Struthio camelus: one gene and its partners. The protein of the gene in region 1 purifies or fractionates together with the protein of each later gene. This does not show direct contact. Links are inferred from orthologs where the notes say so. Each region holds a gene or a part of one and is shown in the gene's direction. Other genes may lie near its edges. The genes, in order: DNAJA2, ENDOG and LLGL1.

Region 1 (7,917 bases):
CACACTTTGTTCCCTTGGCTGGTTAACTATGTGCTATTTCTCTCTCACTGGATAACCTAAGCATTAAAAATAGTTATTTTCCAACTGAAAACTACCCACAAGTATTCAAGAACGTTTAATGAATCTATTTACAAGGTAATAAAAAAGTTTCAAAACAAATACTTCTTCGTTTCAAAGTTAATGCTTTGACTCCTTATCCAAACTAATTTTCACAACACCTTTGCTTACTACTAACATTTATATACCGTATTTGTATCAAGTCCCTATCGCAGTAAGCTCTGCATACCATAAAAATTCCCCCCAAAGTATACAGGTTTAGCACGTGATGAGAAACACCAGACAAAAAAACCCAAACAAATAGGACAGATAACAAAGCTGTCAAATAACAACAAAATTATGCTTAGACTAATAAGCTGGAATTTTAGCACATTAAATGCTTACCCAGTGTTAAGACATAGGTAAGAATAAACAGCACGTTCCCAATTTGTATGAAGAATTTGCATAGTACAATGGTTACAAATAAATTAATGATCTGGGTTGCAAATAACAGCTACCCAAAAGGAGGGGAAAGAAGGAAATTTTGTGTGTGTGTACGTGTGTGTACACATAATGCATATATTCTGCTGTATTCAACCAGCTCTTACTACAGAATATAATAACAATCCTTCTGAGCGTTCTCCAGAGCTTAGAAAAAAAAGCTTTTCATCTTGCTACAGGACCATAACAAACAGCTTGGTGATCCAACTCAGCACTTTGTAACGTTAGCTCAGAAACTGTATGACAAACTGTAGCTTTGAAACTCTCAACCTACCTTGCTCTGCACCACAGAGGCAGCTAGCTGACCAAGAGTTTATTGGGAAGAAAAAAAAAAAAAAAAAGAGTTAAAGTTGCTGAATTTTCTTTGAAGATGTTCTGATTTCCCCTCTCCCCCCCATCCTCAAAAAGACAACCTATCCATAGCCCTGGAAACTGTTAAGAGAGACTTCTGTGTGATGAACAATTAGCAGGAAACTCAAAGAATCCCTTCTCCCATGTTACTAATGTGACTTCTGTTGGGAGCTCTGTGACCTTTGGCAGCAGAGTCTGCAAGCAGGCAGAAACATTTACATTAGGAGAAACTCCTTGAGTTACAAAACAAACAAAATCACCTGAAAATCCAAACAGTACCTATAACACTTCATTTGCAAGAAAGATTTGTTATGTACCCTTCAGATAGAAGAACATAGTAGAGCCCAACTGCCTGAATAACTTCGCTTTTAAAAACATGGAATGCCATAAGCCCTTCCTCGTGCTAATTTGGAAGGAAGATCCCTCAATCTCTCCCCAGTAACAGATTGACACAGTATACAGCCTTTTGAGCTTGCTACAATACTAACTGCTTATGCTCCCCTATTTGCTGATGTGCACATCCACTTTGGAGCAGAAAACTGTATAGCACTTACATATTTATCTATAAAAATAAAAAAGAACAAAACCTCAGTTAGAAGTATATATTTACTATTGATTTACTATTGATTTTCTATCAGCTATTTAGCGATGTTCTATTACAGTTGCACGCAAATGACAGGGCCACAAACTCTGCATTGGCCTGAGATTCAGCTAACTGAACGAAATGCAGAAAACTACCGTAAATAACATGACAAATCACAGTGTAAGACACCCATAGAAGTTACAGAGAGTGCTGTGAGAATGGCTGGATTTCACAGATGGTTAAAGGGGAGCTATGGTAGAAACGGCCAAATGTGACAGATAATTGGAGGGGACTACTAAGGACCTTTTAGGGAATTCGGTTACGCAAGGCGAACAGCACCAAGGAAACCAAACTAGTAATGCCATATTATGCTGAGATTATCTAGGTAACGATATCAAAAATACCAAGTCTAGGTTGGAATGTAGCAAAACTCAGACCAATGGGGAAAAAGTAATTAGGAGCGAGGTGTTTATCTGGAAGACGACTGGGGTGGCAAAATGGAAGCACACGGACAACAAAAAGGAGGGTCAGGAAAGGGAAAAAGGAATAATAAGGTACTCAAAGTAAATGATCAGTGCTACCTGGGGGCACTTGTCAAGCAGCCCTAAGTTTGATCTCTGCAATTGGAGCAGGACAACAAACCAAATCTTGTCCCATAAGGCTCAAGCCTGTTTCTGTGGGTCAGGAGGATCCGGGCAGGGGGCAGGCAGGATGTTTTTCCTGCACAGCAGTGAACCAGCTGGCTGGAGCAAGCCGGAGCTTGTGTAAGGCCAAAATAATACCTTGAAGAGCTGAGAACTGTGCAGGCTACTAAAAAACAAAATAAACAAAAAAACCTCTTCATATAGCAACTGCCGTAGTTTAAACAGACCAGCTTTTCATCGTGATGTGTGAATATAAATAGCATTAGAAATTAAATGAAGTTTTCACAGGGAGGAGGAAAATAATACAGGAATAGAAAAAAAACATACAAACCAAAACAAAGGTAATAACATGTGCAAGTGTTAAGGGGGGGGGAAAGAGTGGGCATAACACATCACTTGAGCACCTAACATGTCCTGTCAGTATAACTCATGAATAGATGCTAAAAGGGGAACGTGGGAGAAAGAAATTCTCTACCTGGCTATTCATCTGTGCTTACGTTTAACAAAAATATAACCATTCAAGCTTCTGATTCTTTAGTTCCTCTTCAAAATAAATCTAAAAGTTCATCCCCGAGGGGTTTTCTCATTACTTATTCTATGTAGTTGCATTTGGACTACATAGCATATTGATATTTGGTAATGCAAGATATAAAATGGGACCATAGCAACAACGACATTTGAGTAAAGAAGAAGAGACATACAAAGATTGTTTCTAAACTGCCACATTAGTTTGGGCGCAAGCCAATACACCAAATTCACCGAGCATTCCCACTACCCATCTATTGGTTGGATCATGTTCTGGCCTGAGTTGCAAGTGAGCCACTCAGCTCACAGGACAAGTCAGTTTGGGCTGAATCACACTTAGTTAACTTTATCCCTGCAGGCATAGACATGACTAGCACCCCACTGCTTTGAGCCAGCTCACCTTGTCCGACATCTAGATATGTTTAAAATGCAAAAAACACAGGTGAATAGCATCCTATGGTATTTTAAATGCTTCTGATATCATTCCTTCTGATTCTGTCTAACTCCTAAGATTTTCAGTCTGATTTATAGGGCAAATAAGTCCTTCCGCACACACTCACAATTTTTCTTCACAGCAGACAACCCATCCCGACTGCCCTACTAATGAGAAAATCCTGTAGAAGAGAAATTCTTTTCTAGCAGCGCATCAATCTACAAGGCAATACAATGCAAACAAACCAGGTAGGCATGCCAGACAGCTCCTAGAGTAGCTAGCAAGTCTGAATTCAGCCTTGCCAAAATAAAAGGTGGATCCAAACAGTGCAAGGCACAAGTCAATGAAACTATAGCACAAATGTTAAACCATGCAGTTACCAGAGGCAGCACAGACAGCCTCCAAAAACACTAGAGACGCACCTCTTAAGTTTTTTTTTCTTTCTTTCTATATGCCTGTGACCGCAAGTAATAAATACAGTCTATGCGACTGTCTTCCCAATGGCTTTTCTCTCACTGCCACTTTTTTTCTCCCTCCAAAGCTCATCTTTGTCTCCCTTTGAGGTTCTTGACTGCTGACACACCTGCAATACCAGAGGCATGATCTACCAAACCTGATTATGCCAGACTTAATAAGAACAATAATGAAATTCAGGGCTTGCTAAGCACCAGTTAGGGAAGGAGCTGAGAAATCACCAGCAAGCTGCATTCCCTAATACAGCCACAAACTGCAACAGGAGACTAAGGCCACTTCTACTAGCCTTCCTTCAGGTGACAAGGAAGGACGCATTCAGATCGGCTCCCCGAGAGCAAGGAGCCTATTCAGATTTCAACACCTCAAGTCCATGAATCTCTTCCAGGCCGGCTCGCTAACCCACTGCCAGCAGGCTCTCCCCACACCTCGCTCACCTCCTCCTCAGCAGGGCCCTCTCCCAGTGCACCTGGGGCTCACCCACCACAGCCCAGCAAGGCATTTTTGCCTCCCTCTCCCTCTCCCCCCCCCCATCACAGGGGCCCACCTGCCCACCCAACCAACCGCCACCTGCAGCGGCTTCTAGAGCCTTCCGCCACTGAGCTGGGGCCGAGGGGCCACACCTGAGGAGCTGCTCCCCTCACGGGGCCGCGAGAGGCAAACCTCCGATTAAACACAACCAGGCTTTTCGCTTGCGCGCTGAAAGCTGCCTCTAGCTAGGGCCTCAAGTCCTCTGCGCAGTTGGTGTACGCTTTGCTCTAATGACTCAGGATAGGCCTGGTGCTTTTCCAAGATTGCAGAAACAGAGCAAAAACAAACAAAAAGGTGCAGATGGGTAACACTATTTATATCCACCAAAGCCTTAGCAACGTGTCCCTGAAGAAAAATATATCGGTCCTTGCGGTTAGAGGTCAGGTTGGCCCACCAGCACCCCATAAACTTCAGGGACATATTTCAAGAGCAAGAAATCACACCGGGCGAGCGGCCCCAGGGAAGGAGGCACACACGAGCGCTGGAGCGTCAGGCTTCAAAACGACACGGGAATGTTGCTCTACTTTAAAACACTCGCTTCTCTCTCGGCGACGCCGGGTCAGACCTCAAGACGGCGGGGGGGGTGAGGGGGGGGGGAAGGTTCCCGCTCTGCCGACAGGAGGCGGCGCGTCTCCGCTGCTGCGCGCGCGCCCCCCGCCCCGCTCCCGCCTCAGCGTCCCCGCGCCGGTTACGGGCGGCGGTTACGGGCGGGGGCGGGGGCGCGAGCCCCCCTTCCCCCCTTCCCCCCCCCCCGGCCGCGCGGGCGCCCCCTGCCGCGCCCCGCCGGAACTGGGTCAGGCCGCCGAAGCGGGGCCGAGGGGGCGGGGCGGGGCCGCGGGTGGAAGGGGCGGGCGCGCTGTGCGCGCGTCGCGGCGTGGTGACGTGACGCGGGGCGTCTGTGCGTCCTGTTCCCGGTCTCGCCCTCGCCGCCCCTCGGCCTGCTCCGGCCCGAGCCGCCCGCCCGCCGCCGCCATGGCGAACGTGGCCGACACCAAGCTGTACGATATCCTGGGCGTGCCGCCCGGGGCCTCCGACAACGAGCTGAAGAAGGTGCGGGGAGGGGGCGGCGGGCAGCGCCCGCCGAGACCGGCGGCGGTGTGGGGGAGGGGCGGGCGCGAGGCCGCGAGGCGGCACCGCCGCCGCCGCGGGGGGGGAGGGGTGGCCCGGCCCGGCCCGGCCCGGCCCGGCCCGGTGTCGGTGAGGGCCCCGGCGAGCGCGGCCCGCCTGCGGCGGCGCGGCTGAGGCCTGCGGCGGGGGAAGGCGCCCGGTGCTGCCTGAGCCGCCGGGCTAGGCCGCGCCGCGGGGCCGCTGGGGCCTGGCGTGCTGGTGGAGCGGGGTAGGCCGCGGGCAGGCCCCCAGGAGAGGGGGGCCGGCGTCAGGGCCCAGCCTTCCCCCCCCGCCCCGGTGCCCCGGCCCGGTGTCGCCAGGGCTCCCCGTTGCCTGTAGGCCCCACCGGGAGACCCCGCGCCTCTCGCCCCCGCAGCCCCGTCTCCCTTCGCCGCCCCGGAGCCATGTTCGCAAGCGGCAGAAGGCTTTTCGGGTGGAAAATCCTAGTGAGGAACCAGTAGATTCTGACTTGGGGCCATTGTTTGAGGCACTTACAAGCCTCGTTAAGGTTCTACTTTGCTCGCTCATTTAGTTCCTTTTAGGCTGAAAGCACTAAGGTAAGACAAAGAAATGAGGTAAAAACTGTAAGCCTGGTTGTCAGTGTAATAATTTATTGCATCCCTTTCACTTCATTCTCTAATATATAAACCACGTTTTCCGAAGGGACGTTGTTATCCTTTTTCACTTGTAAATGGTGGTTAACTAGGCAGTTTACTAGCAGTGACCTGCTTCTGCTGATGGGTGGTGCTGCTATTAACAATTATGTTTTACCCATCATGCATGTGGTAGCCTAATTTGTTCAGGGATAGGCAATCGCAGTGTTGAAATAGTGTTAGAGGTGGTAAGCATGCGGTAAGAAGATACTGCTGTATGTTATTGAATATAATCGAGCAGTGTTTTATTTAACTGAAGTCTGTTAAAAATATCTTGTTTCTTGTAAGAATGAAGAAATGGCAGCAATTGTTTTCTTCCACTGAAGTAACCTGTGCTGCTCAGTATTACTTACATACCAAGGTTAAGTTTAAGGTATTGCAATAGCAAACTTTCCAACTACCTGCAGCAGTGAGAAGTTCAACCGTATCTTACTGTCACTGAGAAATTGTTTGGACGTTGTCTTAACGTCTTAATCGTAACGTCTTAATCTGGTATTTTAATCTGTACAAAAGTATAGAAAAGAGAAAATAAAATAGGTGGAAGATAATAGAAGCTACAGTACAGTGCCAGTATAGATCTTGATTCTGGATCTGTTTCTGGTTAACTGATAATGGTAGCTCAGTGTTAGGCCATGGCCGGTCTTAGGGTTGCTCTAAACTGTTATGCTCCTTAACAAAGACATGAGCTCTCTCCCTTTTTAAAGATTACTAGGCAAACTTCTTTGTACCTGATTTGATAATGTTATAAGAATAGGCTTTTTTCCCCCTCTTGATTAAAAGCCTTAAAATATGCAAAGAAAATCCATTTTTGTTACAGAATACACATGCTTATGTAAGGTTATGTGTTCTTACTGCTAGTAAGACTTGATTTTGTTCTTTACTCTTCTTTGAGTATTTTAGAATATTAGGCTTATAGTATCGATGTTCTATTTTTATTTCATTAGTTGCTTTTTATCGTTGACCTTTTTCCTTGAATCTGTGCACAAGCACTGGGTGTTTCAAGATACATCAGTAAAGAGGAGTGACTGTCAAAAATATTAAAAAAAAAAAAAAGTAATTTTACCTGTTCCAGAACATAATGGGAAGTTGTGATCTCTATGAAGCCCTTTTTGTAAAGCTCCCCTAAAGCTGTGGTTTTTAAAGAGCTAATTTAAGTGTTCGATTAAGCAAGAAAAGAGCTGCTTAAAAAATCCACTGTAAGAACTGGAATGTTTCAGTTTGCAGTCACATTTGTAGGTCGTTGTAGCTAACATGCTTTTGATATGTGCGGTGCAAAAATCAAGGTTTTTTTTTTAATGTTATGTGATTAACTTACTAATATCTATCCTCTGGTTGTTATTGGGGGATGCTGGAGTGGAGTGGGGGGAGAGTTTAGCACTTTACCCTCAAAAACGCCAGAGGAAAAGCTTTTGACTGTCCATCATAACTAACATAAAAGTATCTTCAGTTGCATTTACTTCAGTCCTCCAAATTGGAAGGAGAATAGGTGAAGTACCGCTGTAGGAAAAAAATGATGATGCTGGGAGTTGCAAAGTACCGGTCAAAAAAACATCTTGAAAACTCTCTTTTGGGGATTTGGCTGTATTTATTCCTCCGGCTGCTTTAGAACAATGGAATTGCATCAAATGGACCGGTCTGTGTATTTCTGCATGTGTAACACACATACTTAGTTTAGAGTGAGATGAAATTTTCCTTTATTGATAGGTAAGGAAGAATAAATTGATTATTTATGGGGATCAACTGATAGGGTTGGTTGAGAAGCTATGGCAGCCATTTTGTTGTTAATATATTGCTGAAATTGAGGTGAGGCACAAATGGGTTGAAACTTAGATTGTCTTATTATAGGTTTTGGGTGATTTACATAGTTAAGTAATTTTAATGATATAGTGCGTATTCCAATATATTTTTTCACCTAAGTTAATGAAGAGAAGCAGGAAGATTAATTCTAGCTATTGTGTGGTATAGTTGTGTTTAAATCCAAGAGTGTGTTGTTTGTGCATACAGTAGAATCAGGTATTTCAAATAAAACTTAGATGTATGAGTGATTTCAAAACGCTCTTTTTCTCACTTTGTTTGTTTTAT
Region 2 (8,003 bases), on another chromosome or scaffold:
TCTGATTCTGCCAGTTCCTCCTTTGGGCTGTGCAAGGTACTGGCTTCGATAAGGCTTTCTGGCATGAAGATAGTGCTTGTATCAAGCCAGCTTAGCTATACCCTTGGAGGAGAAATAAAAAACCTTCTTGAAGGGTATGCAGGGCTGATCAGTTACAAAATGAACCAGGAAACAAGTAGCTGTTAGAGGAGTAACTGAAGATAATAATATTTAACTTCAAGCTTAGGGGTGTTAGTCAGTGTGGCCAAGAATGCCACTGTCAAAGTTTGCCCTGCTTGGATGGAACGATACGTGCGCAAGGAATGCTAAGGGGGCACTTACATCACTTTGTTTCTTTGACGCAGGATTATCCTATCTCTGATGTTCACCTGATTTTGAAGAAGGCAAAGGAACTTCAGGATTCCAAATAATCCATGAGCCTGACAAAAGGTGTCAGAGAAATTGCATGTCAGTGGATCCTAGGAGATGCCCCTGTACGGTGTGGTGCATTAGAGCTCCTAGGGGTCTCTGCAGGACTTCAAGTTTTGTGTTTTGGCAACTAGCTACCTTGAAGATTTCCTTCTACTCTATTTATTAGGTCAAGGACTGATTACTTCCCCATCTACTTGGGTCCTGCACTCCATATTTTTCAAATCTCAAATGCCTCCGTACTGCCAAAAGCAGTTCTTTGTATCTTTTTTTAATGACTTTAAGTCTGAGGAGAAAGAAACCATCTATCGGCATATCCCTCAAGTCCTGTGGGATGAAATCCTTCTGCATTATGGAAGTATGCTCACGTGGAGTAACTTCTGATGAGGAAGGGACAGGGTGGATCCAGTGAAGTTGGTGGGTGAGTGTAGAAGGATCTTTCTCCTGTAAATAGAATGTATCCCACTGAAGTCAAGCATCCTGCCGTTCACGTAGCTTCTGGATTCTTCTCCTTCGTGTCTGCACTTAGCCATTACCGGGATGTGCAAAAAGGAAGGCTGCATCAGCTTCTGGTGAGTGTCATCTAACATCCAGCTGTTTGGACTCCATCGCATGGGAAAGAGACCTTGAAAAGCTGAGATGGCTGGACACAGTTACAGCTGGCTGCTTTGTGCACTGAAGTTGCCTGAATCCAGAATCGCCTTATCAACGAGGTCTCCTTGAAAGATAGACTATGGTGGTTTTAATCAATGAGGGAAGTGTAGTTTGATTTAAGTCGAGCCTTATTACGCACAGCCTTAGAGCAGGAGGTTGTCGCTGCAGGGAGGCTGAGACCTCTAGCTGTCTGTGAGCAGCAGCAGCAGCAATACTGCTTTCCCAGCTCTGAACTGGAGGATATCCAGCTACAATCAGGATTCTGAAACACAAGAAATGGGCCTCTAGTCACACGCTGTGAAGACAGCTGTATTTAGGGGCTTATACTGGCAGGAGGCTGGGGTTTTCTGCCTCAGTGACTTGCATAATATTGCCCTGCCTAAGCTGTGGTCACAGTAACCTTGAAATTGTCTAACAGTACTTGCCAGAAAGAGGCTTTTGCTTTTAGGTCAGACCTGTACCATGTCTTTTTCTGGTGTAATCCGGTGGGGTCACAAGCATTTCAGTCACTAGCTGAGTCCTGGGGATGATGGTCCACTTCTCTGTGTACCAGTCCTATTGGAGTGACTGTCCTGAAGTGGATGTTTGTCCCTCTTGAGAGGGAAACTGTTGCATTTCAAATACAGTGGAGCAGGCTTAGGTGAACATTGACTACGACAAGATACAGGGAGAAATGTTAACCCGCAGGAATGTCAGATTGATCAGAAACCATAATCCCCTTCATAGGGAGAGCACCCAAGTGCTCTGACTGTGCAGAAGCTCTTGAGTGAACACTAATCCAGCATGCTTTACTCTCTCTTTCTGTGCTGTGCTAGCTCACCTCTGCATAGCTGTTTGACACTGCATTTTTCTGTATTTATGGGTACTGATTTGTTAAAGGTCAGTCTTGTACTTTCTAAGATCTGCTTACGCTGCTGATGGCATAAAATGCCCCTAGCAAGAGGGATGTTGTCAGCCTTCAGCTTTTGTACTAGTGTTATTTCCTTCACCTAAGGCCAGTTCTTTACAGCCTGCTGTAGTTTTCACAAGGATGAGTGAGGAGATCAGAGGACAGCTTGAAACACGTTCTTATGTTCTTGTTCCCAAGCAGTTTTTCTCTGACTCTTCGGAAGATGCTCTAGTGACACAGGTGCAGCCAGGTGTTGCTCCTGTGGTGGAGCATGAGCAACTAAAGATTTAAACAATCTGTAGCTAATACCTGTGGCTAACGGTATCCCTCTGTGCTGTTGTCCTTTCTGGAGGGTAGATTTTTTCCCCCAAGAATTGGACCTCCTACAAAATGCTTCTGCCTCCGAACTGCTGTAAATATTGTTGCTCTCTTACATTCCACGCACAAGTTTGGCTCTCACCTCCCTGAATACCTGGGCTTCCAGTTCAGGTCCCCCTAGTAAGTGCTGTGGTTTTTCACTGCTAACAGGAGCATCCATAAAGGTTCCTCCTCTGAATGTCTAGAAGTCTCCTTTAAATAACCTGAAGAGGCAGCAGGTCAGTCAGGATTAAAACTACTTTCAGATGAACTTCTATTTGTTCTCAGAGTGGCATTTAGGCCCTGAGGTTGACTTGCACTGCAGTGGAGTTGCCCCAGCTCCGACTCAGGTGTCGGACTCTAGCATTACAAACACTTGAGGGAAGATAGCAGGGAGGTGGTTACTCGAGTAGCAGTCTGGCTACAGGCAGCACGCAGCCTTTTCCATTCCTGGGTTTGAAGGTCTATAGTATGCCCTCCTGTTCATCTTTAGGGGGTGATGGCGAATGCTTTTAAAGGGAGTCTGCAGTGAGGAGGGAGCTTTGCTTGTTGGAAAGGCCCTCTAGGATAAGTAGCCTCAGCCAGACAGGCCTGTGGCTGCTGAACTGCTTGATTTCATTGAGCTCTTTGGGGAAAGCTTCTAACTTTGATATGCCCAGTCAGGCCAGTTCCTACATGAAAAGCTCTTTTGTGTCCCTCCTGATCTCCTCCTGTGCGATAGGACTTCTGTTCTGCTACTGAAAAGGACTTTGAAAGGAATGACTCTACTTTTCAATGGTTTGGAACTTCCATTTCTTTATTCCAAGACTTGTACCTTTCCTTAAGGGCAAAAGTGCATTTTCTGAGGGGAGAAAAGCTTTTGATTCTCCTGAGGGGTTACCTTGGCTTCATTCCTCAAGGCTGTTAGTGGTTTGTGAGGTCGGACAGTATTAACTAGCCGGGGGTGGTTCCTTGCTTGAGTGGCCAAGTAGCAGCTGCTCCACGCTTGAGACCATTCCACCTCTGACTTGCGGCTCCTGTAGCAGATCAGGGATGAGACAAGAGTGGCTGCAGCAGCGTTTCCCAGCGTCTTGAGGACCCCTTGCTTTATAGGGCCCTAAATAAGGGAAGCGTAAAGAGCTCTTACTAAGCATTCTGCACAGGCAGGACTACTGCCAGCCAGGGGAAGGGGGACCCTTTCCTGGGAGGAAAAATAGAAAACTATGCTGGGTGGGGGGAGAGATGGTCCGTCCTTATGAGGAAAAGATCTGCTCCACCCTTCTTTCACCTTGCTGTAATTCAAGCCTCTGGAAATTTTGTAGCTCTGACGATAAGGTAGAAGAAACGGGAAAAGAGAAATGAAGTAGTTAGTTGTGATCGCTCAGAACATGGATTTTGAGTTTGAATTTTGTGACGTAATGGAGAATTACTCACAGTTTGGCAGTGAGTGGAATGAAGGTCATAAGCTGCTTTAGGGGAGCCTGGGGTATTTGGGAAAACAGAGGCTATATTCCATCAATGAGTATCAGTGATTTTGTTTTAGCCTTGCACCTTTTAGCCTAAAATGCCCTTTCCCAGAAAAAGAGAGCATCAAATCTGGTGTTTTTTCAAAGTAACACTTTTTATGTTGGCTGGAAATAACTGTGTCAGAACATGGTATAGAGAACATTTCATCACTCAAACTCCTTCTTTTAGCCTTCTTTTTAAACACTATATATATATATATATATATATTATATATTTTTTTTTTTTGGAAAAGCTTCCTTTAGCTAAACCGGTGGCTTTGTGCAAATATCTCCTCTTGGTGATGTGACTCACCTTGTTGAGCTTGGAGTTAATGCTGCTACTCGTGATAACTACAGTATTTCTCAGTGCCCTCGTCGATAGTGACTGGGAGGAACCAAGAGACCTTGCACTAGTTGGCCGTCAGCAGAAGCACGCTGCGGCAGGTGAGAGCCCTGCAGTACCTTACAGGTTTGCACGCACGAGCTCCTCTCTTTCCACTGCCACCTCTTCTTTGGCACGGGTGTCATGTTTTGCTCGCCCTCGCTGAGCCCGCCTCTGCCTCGTCCTGCAGAGCCGCAGCGCAGGCTGGGACCGGGAAGCGTTGGGGGAGCGTTGGCTTTTCTCAAGGAATAACGCAAAGGTAACGGCGCAACTGTGAATCCTCTGACGGGGCGGGAGACCAGCGCAGAGCCCTGGCGCGGCCTGCGGCAGCTCCGATGCGAAGGGAGGGCGAGAGCTGGGCTGGGAGGGGGCCCTGCTGGCAGGGGGGCCCGCCCTAGCTGCTGAGGGCGGCCGGTGGCGGGCGCTCGGGCTGGGGCGAGCGTTGAGCCTCCGGCTGCAGGAGGGAACGAGCGGCCTGTGCTGGTTTATTAACTTCCTCTGCTCTTTATGTTTGTAACTGCTCCGATGAGCTTCAGTCACGTGACCCGTGGGCTCGTTTAACGCTGTTTTCTGATTTGTCCTAATAAAATGGTTTCTTTGCACACGGGCGTGGGAGATGTTTCCGTCCGGGAGCCGCCGGGCGGCCAGGCGCCCTCCAGCCCTTAAAGGGGCGATGCTCGGCGGTGGGCCCAGGCTGCTCCTGCGCCTGCGCGGACCCCGGCCTCGGCCCGCCCGTCCTGAGTCGCGTCGCGCCGGGGCGGCCATGGCGCGGGGCCGCTGGCTGCTGCCCGGGGCCTCGCTGGCCCTGGGCGCCGGGCTGGGCGCGGCCCTCACGGCGCGGGGGCAGCGCGGCGAGGCCGGCGGCGGCACGGGGCTGCTGGGCCGCCTGCCCGTGGTGCCCGCGCTGGCGGCCGCCGCCGGGCCGCCGCCGCCGCAGCCGGCCGGCTCGGGCCGCGCCGAGCTCGCCAAGTACGGGCTGCCGGGGCTGGCGCAGGTGCGGAGCCGCGAGTCCTACGTGCTGTGCTACGACCCGCGGAGCCGCAGCGCGCTCTGGGTCATCGAGCAGCTCAACCGCGACACGCTCAGCGGCGCCTCCGACCGCGCCGCCTGCGACTTCCAGGAGGACGACTCGGTGCACGAGTACCACCGCGCCACCAACGCCGACTACCGCGGCAGCGGCTTCGACCGCGGCCACCTGGCCGCCGCCGCCAACCACAAGTGGAGCCAGAAGGCCATGCGGGACACCTTCTACCTGAGCAACGTCGCCCCGCAGGTAGGGCCCCGCCGTCCCTGGCTGTACCTTGTCCGTGTGTTTGGCTCCGTAGCAGTTCAGACAAAGGGGGACTAAAGTGACTGAGTTCACTCGGGGGTGCTGTGTTTTGTGCTAAGCTGAGACGCTGATCCTGCAGACGCACCTGCCTGCACACCTCTCTCGCCATTAGAAAGACCCTGGTTTACTTCAGCACGGCACGTTGCAGGATTAAAGTTAAATACTCAGAGAGAGAGCTGCTCACAAAAATGAGGGCCTGAAATCTGTGGGGCTGGTCCTGGGGTGCAAACTAGGACCTCTCCTTACACAGCTCCCAGAGTGGAGATGACGGTCCTGGCCTCTTCTGTAAAGTGCTCAGGGCACTGCTGAGAGATGTAATGCAAAAATTGTGTGTTGTTATTAAGAAAACTTGGAACAATGAGGAAATCCCCTGGTGACTGACCTGCCTGTCTGCGATGTCCTGCTTGTGTTGCTAGGTTCCCCATTTAAACCAGAACGCCTGGAATAACCTGGAGAAGTACTGCAGAAGTTTGGCTAGGAAGAACAAGAACGTGTACGTCTGCACGGGTCCTCTTTTCCTGCCCAGGTAAATATGCAGGCCGTATTGGGACCGCGCTCAAGAGGTGCATCATGCCACAGAATGAAACAAGGCCGAGGGTTTGCAGTTTCCTGAGCGTGCCCCCCAACAGAAGTGATGTGCTCAGACCCAGTTCAGTAAGCGAGTCCAGCTGTGTGCAGAGGGCCTGTGGACAGGTACTTTCTTAGGGGTGGGATCAGTTTGCTTATTTCCAATGTAGTAGGTTATTTCAGGAGTAGGTAGTGGGACCTCTCCCAGGCAGAATTCAGCTCTGTGGCTCTTGTCTAGCTGCCGTAATTGAACTGTGGTATCTCTTCTAGTACTGCTTTCTTGAGATACAATGTAAGGCTTTTATTTGCAGTCTTTAGTAATCAATAAAGCGGTATTAGACTGCACATTAGCCTGCAGAGGCATTAGCCCTTTGCTGTAGTATAAAGCTTCTAGGTTTTATTTCGTAGTCTAGTTTTCCTCTTGAGAGCATAACTTTATTTGCAAGGATCATTCATAGCACTGTGAAGAGCAGTTTCCACAAGTTGAGATCTCTTCAGGAGCAGCAAACAGCTTGGGAAGGCCGTTAATTGAGGCAACGGAGAAGGGATTTGGAGGAGCAGATCCGATACGTTGCTCAACCTCACCAATTCCATAGCCTCTGCTTCAACAACGTGTTTACATCCCTACTGGAGATGCAGGGGTGCCCTCTGCCATGTTGGGAGGGGGACTCACTTAAGGGTGGTGATTGGGGGGGCTGAGAGGGTAGATGTGGAACCAGGCCAGGAGGTGACAGTAACAGGTCATTGCTGTTGGTGCAGGATGGAGGCAGATGGGAAGATGTACGTCAAATACCAGGTGATTGGGAAGAACAATGTGGCTGTCCCAACCCATTTCTTCAAGGTGCTCATCCTGGAGAAGGAGAGTGGAGAGATTGAGCTGCGCTCCTACGTGATGCCCAACAGCCCTGTGGATGAGAACATCCCCCTTGAACGATTCTTGGTTCCCATTGAGAGCATTGAGCGGGCCTCAGGGCTCCTATTTGTCCCTAACATCTTGAAGAGGACAAATAATTTAAAAGCCATCACAGCTGGGAACAAGCGTTGAACCCTGACTAAACAAATCAAGGCATCCTCTGGCAGGGACTGTGACAGCAGTAGTTAGCAGAAACATATTTCCTTGTGCAATTTTAAATGTGCAAAATTAAGAGTCAAATCAGTGCTTCTCTCTGCCCTTCCTCCAGTTTCATGCAATATTGAAATGGATGTGCGAGGCCAGTCTCTGGGGCAGGCCCTACAGGAGGCTCTTGAGCCCTTGACACCATCGTAGCATCTCCAGGATTTGCCCCTAAACTGCAGTACCAAGGATACCTCTGTAAAACGTTGAGGTGTGTGGCTCAGTAAGACACAAAGGGAAGTTGTTTAATTTCAGATATTTGGCAGGGAACGATAGGTGCAAAATCGGTACAGGGGAGATGGGGGAAACCCTTGCCTTTCTGTGGCCAAAGGATCATACACTGTTTTATTTCAGAAGATGGTTTTAGCAGTAAAGCTTTGAAAACTCAGGGTATTGACTGTTTCTTACCTGCTCTTACCAAAGCCCTGCGTGTCTAAAGAGTAAGGGGGAGGACAGAGCCAGCTTCTCCAGCTGTTTTCTTGTTTGATCTCAACTGTAAGTAGAGTTTAAGACCTCATAGTTAGAGCAAACTGTTACAAGATGCACTGATGTACTTTAGCTCTGAGGCCCAACTGAACCTCCAGCCCTTCCTGCTGTTGGAGGGAGGAAGCCTGTGAGTTAAAAGGGAGGCTGGGGACATCAGGCTAACTCTGGAACAGGAACAGGTTTCCTTATGCTGACTTAAGACTCTTAAGGCCTGAAGCCCACAAGGCTCCAGCGGCGCTGTGAGTGCAGGATTGCTGCAGACTGGGTGCTCGTCCTCTGTATCAAGATACTTGCACAGAGCCTTTGAAGCAGGTGAGTTTTGATACTATTTT
Region 3 (6,988 bases), on another chromosome or scaffold:
CGGGTCCATTGCCAGAGAAGGAAGGGCTGTTTGCCGCTGTAGAGGGGTGAGCTGGCCGAGGGAGTGGCTTTTAGATTCGAGTCTGTAAGCAGATGACTGCTTTGCTGAGGTTGCCAGATGCCTGGAGACAGCTTCCACTTAACTTTGTCTAGGTAGATTGCATGTAACAGGAAAATCCCGGTTGCCGCATCTGGCTCTCCACACCTGCTGTACTCTAATCCAGCTGTTAGTGAAATAAGAGTTGTGACACACATGAGCTGTAATCCAAAGGCTTGGTTCCCCTCGGGAGGGTTGTTCATTTGCCAGGCTGTGAACTCGCTCCGCGGGGTGAGCCGTTCGGGTGGCTGCGCTGAACAAACAGCGACCCAGGCACGAGCTGACTTCGCTCCTCCTGCGAAGCGTCGGCCCGGCTCCCAGGCTGGGGCCAGAGTTGGCGTTAAGGCTGTTAGTACGTGCTGTGCATAGTGCTCGCTGGAGGGGGTCCGAGCCCAAACCCACAGGTCTAAACGGCTGCGACGCTTTGAGGATGGTTCAGAGCCGGGCCTGAATGTAGAGGTTTGGACCCACCTCTAGCGGCAAATAGTCTTTTATATGCCAAATGCAGTTCCCTTTTCAAGTTGGGAGGAGGAATGTTAGGCCGAGAAGTGCACGTCTGCTCCTTCCCGCTCCCCTGTCCACACTTACAAGTTCTGGCTGACTTTAGTTTTGTTTTTTAAAGATTCTAATTTTTTTGGTTACAAATAAAAAAGAAAGTGGCAATATTTTTTTCTGTAAGCTTTTCCTAGGAAAAAGCGTGGTTTGTAACAAAGTTGTACAGTTCTGAAGTTTGAGATACAAGAAGTACTGTGTGAAACGCTGTAAATGGGGCAGAGATTATTTTATGTACAGTCTGATGTGGGGGGAATCTTTTAATTCTGGTTGATTCTTAGGAAGAATTTGGTTCTTCACTGTCAGGGTTTGGAATTTCATGGTTTCATTTTTTTTTTTTTCTTGTATAGATTGCTGCATTAATAAAAGCAGAAAGCATCACTTGCCTGCCTGCGTGGTGGTGCCTGGCTCGCCCCCAGGACCGGTGTCTTTCCTCTCCCCGGCCGCCTCGGCCCCTGGCTTAGGTAACGCCCGGCTCTGAGCGTCGCGGAGCCCGGCGCTCAGATCTGTGCCTCCCTTCCCCAGCGGCAGAAAAGAGGTTGCGGCGCAGAGAAATGGTTCTAAATAAAGGGAGTCTCTAGCTCCTTGGGGACGGGGGGCATTTAAATACAAAGTCTCCTCGACTTCTCTTGCACTGCCCTAGAAACTGGGGACAAAGCTGTGGCAGGCGCTCGCGTCCCCTCCTGTCCCCGTCTTCCCCTGCCTGCTGTCAGTACCGACAGCGGCAGGGAGCAAAAGTCAAAGCTGTCCCCGTTCTCTCAGCCCCGTCCGGCTCGAAGCCTGACTTGGCTTCGCTCCCTCCTGCCACGGCTTGGAGCCGGTGCGGAGGCGGGAGCGGAGCGCTGCAGCCCGCTGGGGTGAGAGCAGAGCCTGGTGGGATCCCCTGTGCCCAGGGTCCCCCCGCAGCAGCCTCCGCCGGGACCCCGGCTCGGTGGCCTGGGGTGGTGAGCGCTGGCCGGCCGGCTCCTGGCCACGTAACCCACGTCCGGGATGCTTGCAGGCCGCCCAGCCTCCTCGCCGGGAAGGCTCGGCGGGGTCTGCCGAGCCGTCCCGGCAGCGGGCTGGGATTCCCCCTCCTTCGCGTGCCGCGTTAGCCGCGACCGGTGGGTCACCCCGCCGGGAGGCACGGGTGCGGGCTCCTCGGCGGGCCGGGCTGCTGCGGCCCTGCGCTTCGGCCTGGCCGCGCGGCCCCTCGCCCGCCCTGCCCTGCTCCTTCCTCCCGCAAGAGGGAGATGGCAGCGCGGCGGGCGGCCGCGCAGCGCCGGGGAGGGGAAGGCATGGACGGGGCCTGCGGCGCGGCATTGCATCCCGGCGCTGCGCTGCAGCGAGGAGGGGAAAACGAGGCAGGAGGCCGTGCCGGCGCTGGGCAGGCTGCGCTGGCTTGGCACCCGGGGCGCCGTGCGTGGCTGGGGGACGGTCCCCGGCCTCGCGGGGCCAGGGCGGCCGCCTGCGTGTCGTCGTCACCACGTCGGGCGCAACGTCACCCCGTCGGCTGCAACGGCTCCGTCCTTAACCGAGCGTTTCTGAACCGAGGCGCGAGGCGGCCTGTTCCCGGGAGCGCCCTCGAACAAAGACGCCTTTGTGGAAGGAAACGGCCTCCCCGGAGCGGCGGATGTCCGGGAGCGCCCTGCCACGGGGCACGGCACCTCGCTCCCGAGCCCTCGCCGGCGCCGCGAGGGCCTTGACGGGGGCACGGCGCAGCCCCGGCCTCGGCGGCTGTCCAGCGCCAGCCCCCTTAGCGCCATCACCGCTCGCCCCAGCCTCGGCCCCGGGTTCTCCAGGGAAGCGATGGGCAAAGAACCCCCCCCCCAGATGCATCGCCACGGGGGGTCTCGGGCGCTGGCCCGTGCGGCCCCGGGACAGCGTTAGTCAGCAGGGAGGGGAGGCCGGCCCGGCCCAGCCCTGCCCGGCTGATGTTGCGCCGGGTGACGGCGCTCGCCTGACTCACCCCCGTGCGCCGTGGCGCTGGGCAGGGTGACACCTCCCACGGGGCCGCCTCGCCCTCCGCCGCTCCCCGCGTCCCCCTCCGCTTCGCCCCCTGCTCCCCCCTGCTGAGGCCGGCTCGCCCCCCGCCGCCCCCGGGGGCGATGCCAGCGCAGGACGGAGCCGGCAGGCATCCCCGCGCGCCTCGCCGCCGGCTCCTGCTTCTCGACCCACCCTCCCCGCCCCGGCTCCGAGCCCGGCTGCTTCTCATTATTTCATTTCCGCTGAAACATAAAGCCTTCTTCCAGCTCGATGGGCCCGATGCGGCCGTGTCCCGGCAGGTCCCCAGCCCCCTGGGCGGGGGGAAGCGAGCAGAGGGTGCCCCGCGCCATGGGGCAGCAAGCCGGCCAGGGCAGCGGGCACCCATCCGGCATTTCGGGGACGGGGAGGACAGCCGCTGGGGGCGAATCCAGCTGCGAGCGCCCCGGCTGGCCCCCGCCGCGGGAGCCGGGAAGCAGCGCCCGGGGCGGCGGGGGGCATTTGCCAGCCCAGCGGCGGCGCGGAGACAATCGGCCGCCGGCCGGTGACGGCTCCCGAATACTAATACGGCGGGCGGCGAGGCGGCCCCAAGGGGCCCGCGGTGGCTCCCGCTGCTCCCCCGAGCGGCGCTGGGCTCAGCGTGGGGTGGGAGGGGGAAACATGCCCAACACAGGGGCTGGCGGGATCCGCCCTGTCCCCCTCGGTCCCCACGCAGGCCCCGGGTGGCCCGCGAGGCCCGGAGGCCATGATGTCCCGTGGCCGCCATGGGCCCCCAGGCCGGGCCGGGCCTTGGGCCCTTCCCTGGCAGCCGGGAGGCCAAGGCCCCGGGTGGCGATTCATGGCAGCCGGCGTGGCGTGAGCCCAGCGTGGCCACAAGACCGCTGCGGCCCTTAATATTATTAATTGTGTTAATTAGTGACTAGTGTTGCGGGCGGCAACGACGACTGTTCGCGGTGCTGCACGCCTCGGTGGGTGAAATGGCGGTGGGGGGAGGGGGGGCTTGTCCTGCCGGGCTGCGGCCGCCTCACCCCGGGGCTCTGCGGAAAGAGGGAGAGAGAAAGAAAGGAAGAAAAGAAGGGGGGGGGGGGGGGAAAAGCTTCCCAGGGAGGGCGGCGGGCCAGGGGCGGGAACTACAACTCCCATCAACCCCCTCTCGCGGGCGGGCGGGCGCATGCGCGGCGCGGGCGGGCGCCGATTGGCGGTGCGGGCTGCCCGTCACGGCGCGGGGGCGCTTGGCCCCGCCCCGCCCCGCCGCGGCGGTGCCTGCCCGGGCTCGGCGCGCGGCGCTCGGGGCTCGGCGCGCGCTAGGGCGGGGGGCGGGGGGAGCGCCCGCTGTCGCCGCCGCCGCCGCCGCCGCCGTTTGGCCCCGCCCGGTACCCGTAGCCGCGCCGCCGCCGCCACCGGCCCCACCATGATGAAGTTTCGGTTCCGGCGGCAGGGCACCGACCCGCACCGCGACCGCCTCCGGCACGACCTCTTCGCCTTCAGCAAGGTGCGGCAGCGGGACCGGGACCCCCACCCCGCGGGGGTGCCGGGCACGGGAGGCGCCCCCCGAGGTTGCAGGGACACGGGCCCTACCGGGGGTGCCCGTACCCCGCCCCGCGCCCCCGGGGGTGCAGCTGTGGCACGCCCCGGGCGGGCTGCAACTCCTGGGGGCGAGCAATGCACGGGACCCCCCCCTCCCGCTCCGGGAGGTCGATGCGGGGCCCCCCGGGGCAGGATGCACCCCCGGGGGTGGGGGGAGCATTGCACGGGGGGCAGTGTGTGTGGGACCCCCCCCCCCCGGGGCAGGGTGCCCCCCTGGGGGCTGTAGGGAGCGGGGATCGGGGAGCCCCCGAGGTGCAGCCTATGGGACTGCCATGGGGCAGGATGTGACCCCGGGGGGGGGGGGGCTCGTACGGGGACCCCCGAGGTGCAGATGCACCTGGGAGGGGGTGTGGGGGGGTCCCCTGTGGCAGGCTGCCCTCCCTCAGGAGTGGGGGGTCCCCCAGGGCAGGCTGCGCCCCCCCAACCTTGAGGGACACCCCTATTTCCCCCCCTTTTTAGCTCTGGGGTGGGGGGGTCCCTTGCATCCCCTTTGGGGCTGTGCTGGAGCGGCGAGGTGTCCCCCTCCCCGGCTCCTTCTCCCCTCAGCTCCCCCCCCAAGACTCTGGGTGCCCGGGACCGGCGGCGCGGGCAGAGCCGGGACGCGGCTCGGCGCTCCGGCCGGCCCGGCGGCACGAAACCCCGCCGCGGGAGAGCTCTACGACTTCCCTCGCGGAGGGCTCCGCGTGCCTCCGGGATGCCGCGGCCACAATAGCCAGCCGAAAGCGCGCGCGGGGGGCAGAGCCCCGCTCCGGCGCCTGGGACGTGCCCCCCACCCCGCTTCGTCCGCGGAACAGGCCGCCCCGACGCGGAAACGGGCTCCGGCTCCGAGCCGCCGTCGCGAAGGGGCCGCGGGGCTGGCGGGGGCCGGTCGCTCCCCGAAGCCGCCTCCGCGGGGTGGGGATCAAAGGCCCAAAGTTTCCCCGGTGCCTGAGCCGGGCGCTCTCCCCCTTGAAGGGCAGAGCTGCGTCGCGGAGATTTACAGCTTTTTTTTCCCCTGTGCTCCTGTCTCTTTATTGTGCAGCCTTAACGAGCCTGCTGGGCTCTTAAAATTAACCTTTTCAGGGGCTGCGGCGGGGAAGCCGCCCCGAGATCGGCGGCGGGAGCAGCACGTCCACCCGCGGTCCCCGGGCTCCCGGCCGCCACGGGATGTTTTGTGGCCTTGGGAAGCCACAGCTGGCCCCGTGCGGCCGCCGTGCCGGGCTCCGTGCCGGGCTCCGTGCAGCCCCGTTTTGCTGGGAAGCAGCTCGTAGGTGCGGCCGGCTCTCGGGAGACTGCACGCCCAGGTCCCATCCCGAGAGCTGTCTCCGAAGGCACCCGGGCCGCTGCCAAGGCAGAGCGGGCTGCAGCTGCCCGCCCAGGGCTGGGAGGACGTTTCCCGACCTCCCCTGCCCTCCGCTCGCTCTGGGTTTCCTTCTCCGTCTCGTGGATCCCTGCGGGGCGCCTCGTCTCTCCTCTTGCCCGGCCGGCGCGCCGGGAATCGCCGCCTCCTTCCAGCTCGCGAGCTCTGCAGAGAGCCGAGGCTCAGCTGCGTGGCCCGACGCCGGGGGCACCCGCTGCCGTCTGCTCTCCCTGGGCTCCCCAGACCGGGTTTGGTGCCCCCGAGCCCGCTAACTGCCCCCTGCCTGGGATGTCAGCTGGTGACGTCTGCTCTGGCGCTGGTGGTCCCCGATTGGGGCAGGGCCACGCGGTCGCAGCGGGGCTCCCGTCTTGGCGTTGCGCCGGAGGGGACACGGGGCTCTGATCTTTCCTCCTCTTTTCCCCGCTGGCATACGGGATGTACAGGAACTGGGACTGTGTAATCTGCTCCTCTAGACATGATGAGGATTTAGTCTCCCATTAATGAGCTCTGCGTGAAGCTCCTGAGCTGAGAGAATAGACCCCCTGGAGCTAACTCGGTTTGATAGGATTGGCATACAGGCCCGTTAGTCGCAGGACGCGGCCTAAATATCTCCGGCAGCTGGCGGAGGGCTGCAGGAAGAGCCTCCCGAGCCTTCGTTTGCTGGCTGCATCTCTTGGCCCCTGCGCGGCTTTGCAGCTCATCTGCTGTTTGTGCGGGATGGGCTGAGCATTAGCCGTGGCCTGCTGCCCCTCGGCCAGCTCTAGGGACAGATGCCCGGCTCTGGCTTGCTGCATCTCCATCCTGAGCCCACTGCGGTGCTGGGACAGGGCTCTCCTTGCATCGGATGACCCTGAGGTGTAGGAAAACAGCGGGAGCGGCCCCCAGCTGAGCAGAGACCAAACAGCGTGTCCTTCAGCAGCGGGAGTAGATAGCTGCGTTGTTTGCCTAGCCCAGCCGATGGGCTGGGCGCTTGCAGCTCACCGAAAAGTACAGGGTGATGGGGACCCCCGTGCGTGCAGGAGGAGCCCCCTCGTTCGCACCCTGTCCTCGGGCAGCGTGGCCAGGGCGGGCTGCAGCCGATGGACGTGGCGTGGTCCGGGCTCTGCCGTACGGGCTGTGCAGGACGGGTACGGCATGCGTGGTCCCAAGGGAGCCACCGGCAGAGCTCGAACCAAAGCCTGGGGCTCCCGTTCAGTTCTGTGGATCCGTCTCGAGCGAGCCGCGTGCTGGAAGAGGGCCGGCGGGCTGTGCCGGCAGGATTGTGCAGTGGGGTCCTGCTCGGGCGCGAGCCCTGGGCTGCCTGGGAGGTCTGTGCTCGGAGGGGCTCTTCCTGCGGGTGTTGGAGACAAGAGTCTCCAGGCCGCAGCGGAAACAGCCAGGGAGCAGCTCCGTGCCGGCCGGCCAAGCACTCCAGGACGCTGGCTGCCCACCTGACTCCTATTAAGATCTTGT

What was found.
Region 2: the proteins of DNAJA2 (region 1) and ENDOG purify together in Homo sapiens (affinity purification with mass spectrometry; 3 studies listed by BioGRID and IntAct, with this or other methods). This does not show direct contact. The link is inferred for Struthio camelus from reciprocal best matches to the Homo sapiens genes DNAJA2 and ENDOG.
Region 3: the proteins of DNAJA2 (region 1) and LLGL1 purify together in Homo sapiens (co-immunoprecipitation; 3 studies listed by BioGRID and IntAct, with this or other methods). This does not show direct contact. The link is inferred for Struthio camelus from reciprocal best matches to the Homo sapiens genes DNAJA2 and LLGL1.

What each region holds. Positions count from the first base shown.
Region 1 is NC_090951.1:15,431,836-15,439,752, reverse strand, and holds the start of DNAJA2 (dnaJ homolog subfamily A member 2), read left to right. Parts: upstream 1-4,898; 5' UTR 4,899-5,047; coding exon 5,048-5,125; intron 5,126-7,917. UniProt on the Homo sapiens protein: Co-chaperone of Hsc70. Stimulates ATP hydrolysis and the folding of unfolded proteins mediated by HSPA1A/B (in vitro).
Region 2 is NC_090961.1:7,200,181-7,208,183, reverse strand, and holds ENDOG (endonuclease G, mitochondrial), read left to right. Parts: upstream 1-4,937; coding exon 4,938-5,447; intron 5,448-5,920; coding exon 5,921-6,030; intron 6,031-6,830; coding exon 6,831-7,116; 3' UTR 7,117-7,573; downstream 7,574-8,003. Other genes in the region: TBC1D13 (TBC1 domain family member 13), read left to right, coding at 345-410. UniProt on the Homo sapiens protein: Endonuclease that preferentially catalyzes the cleavage of double-stranded 5-hydroxymethylcytosine (5hmC)-modified DNA.
Region 3 is NC_090956.1:3,659,908-3,666,895, reverse strand, and holds the start of LLGL1 (lethal(2) giant larvae protein homolog 1), read left to right. Parts: upstream 1-3,905; 5' UTR 3,906-4,021; coding exon 4,022-4,102; intron 4,103-6,988. UniProt on the Homo sapiens protein: Cortical cytoskeleton protein found in a complex involved in maintaining cell polarity and epithelial integrity. Involved in the regulation of mitotic spindle orientation, proliferation, differentiation and tissue organization of neuroepithelial cells.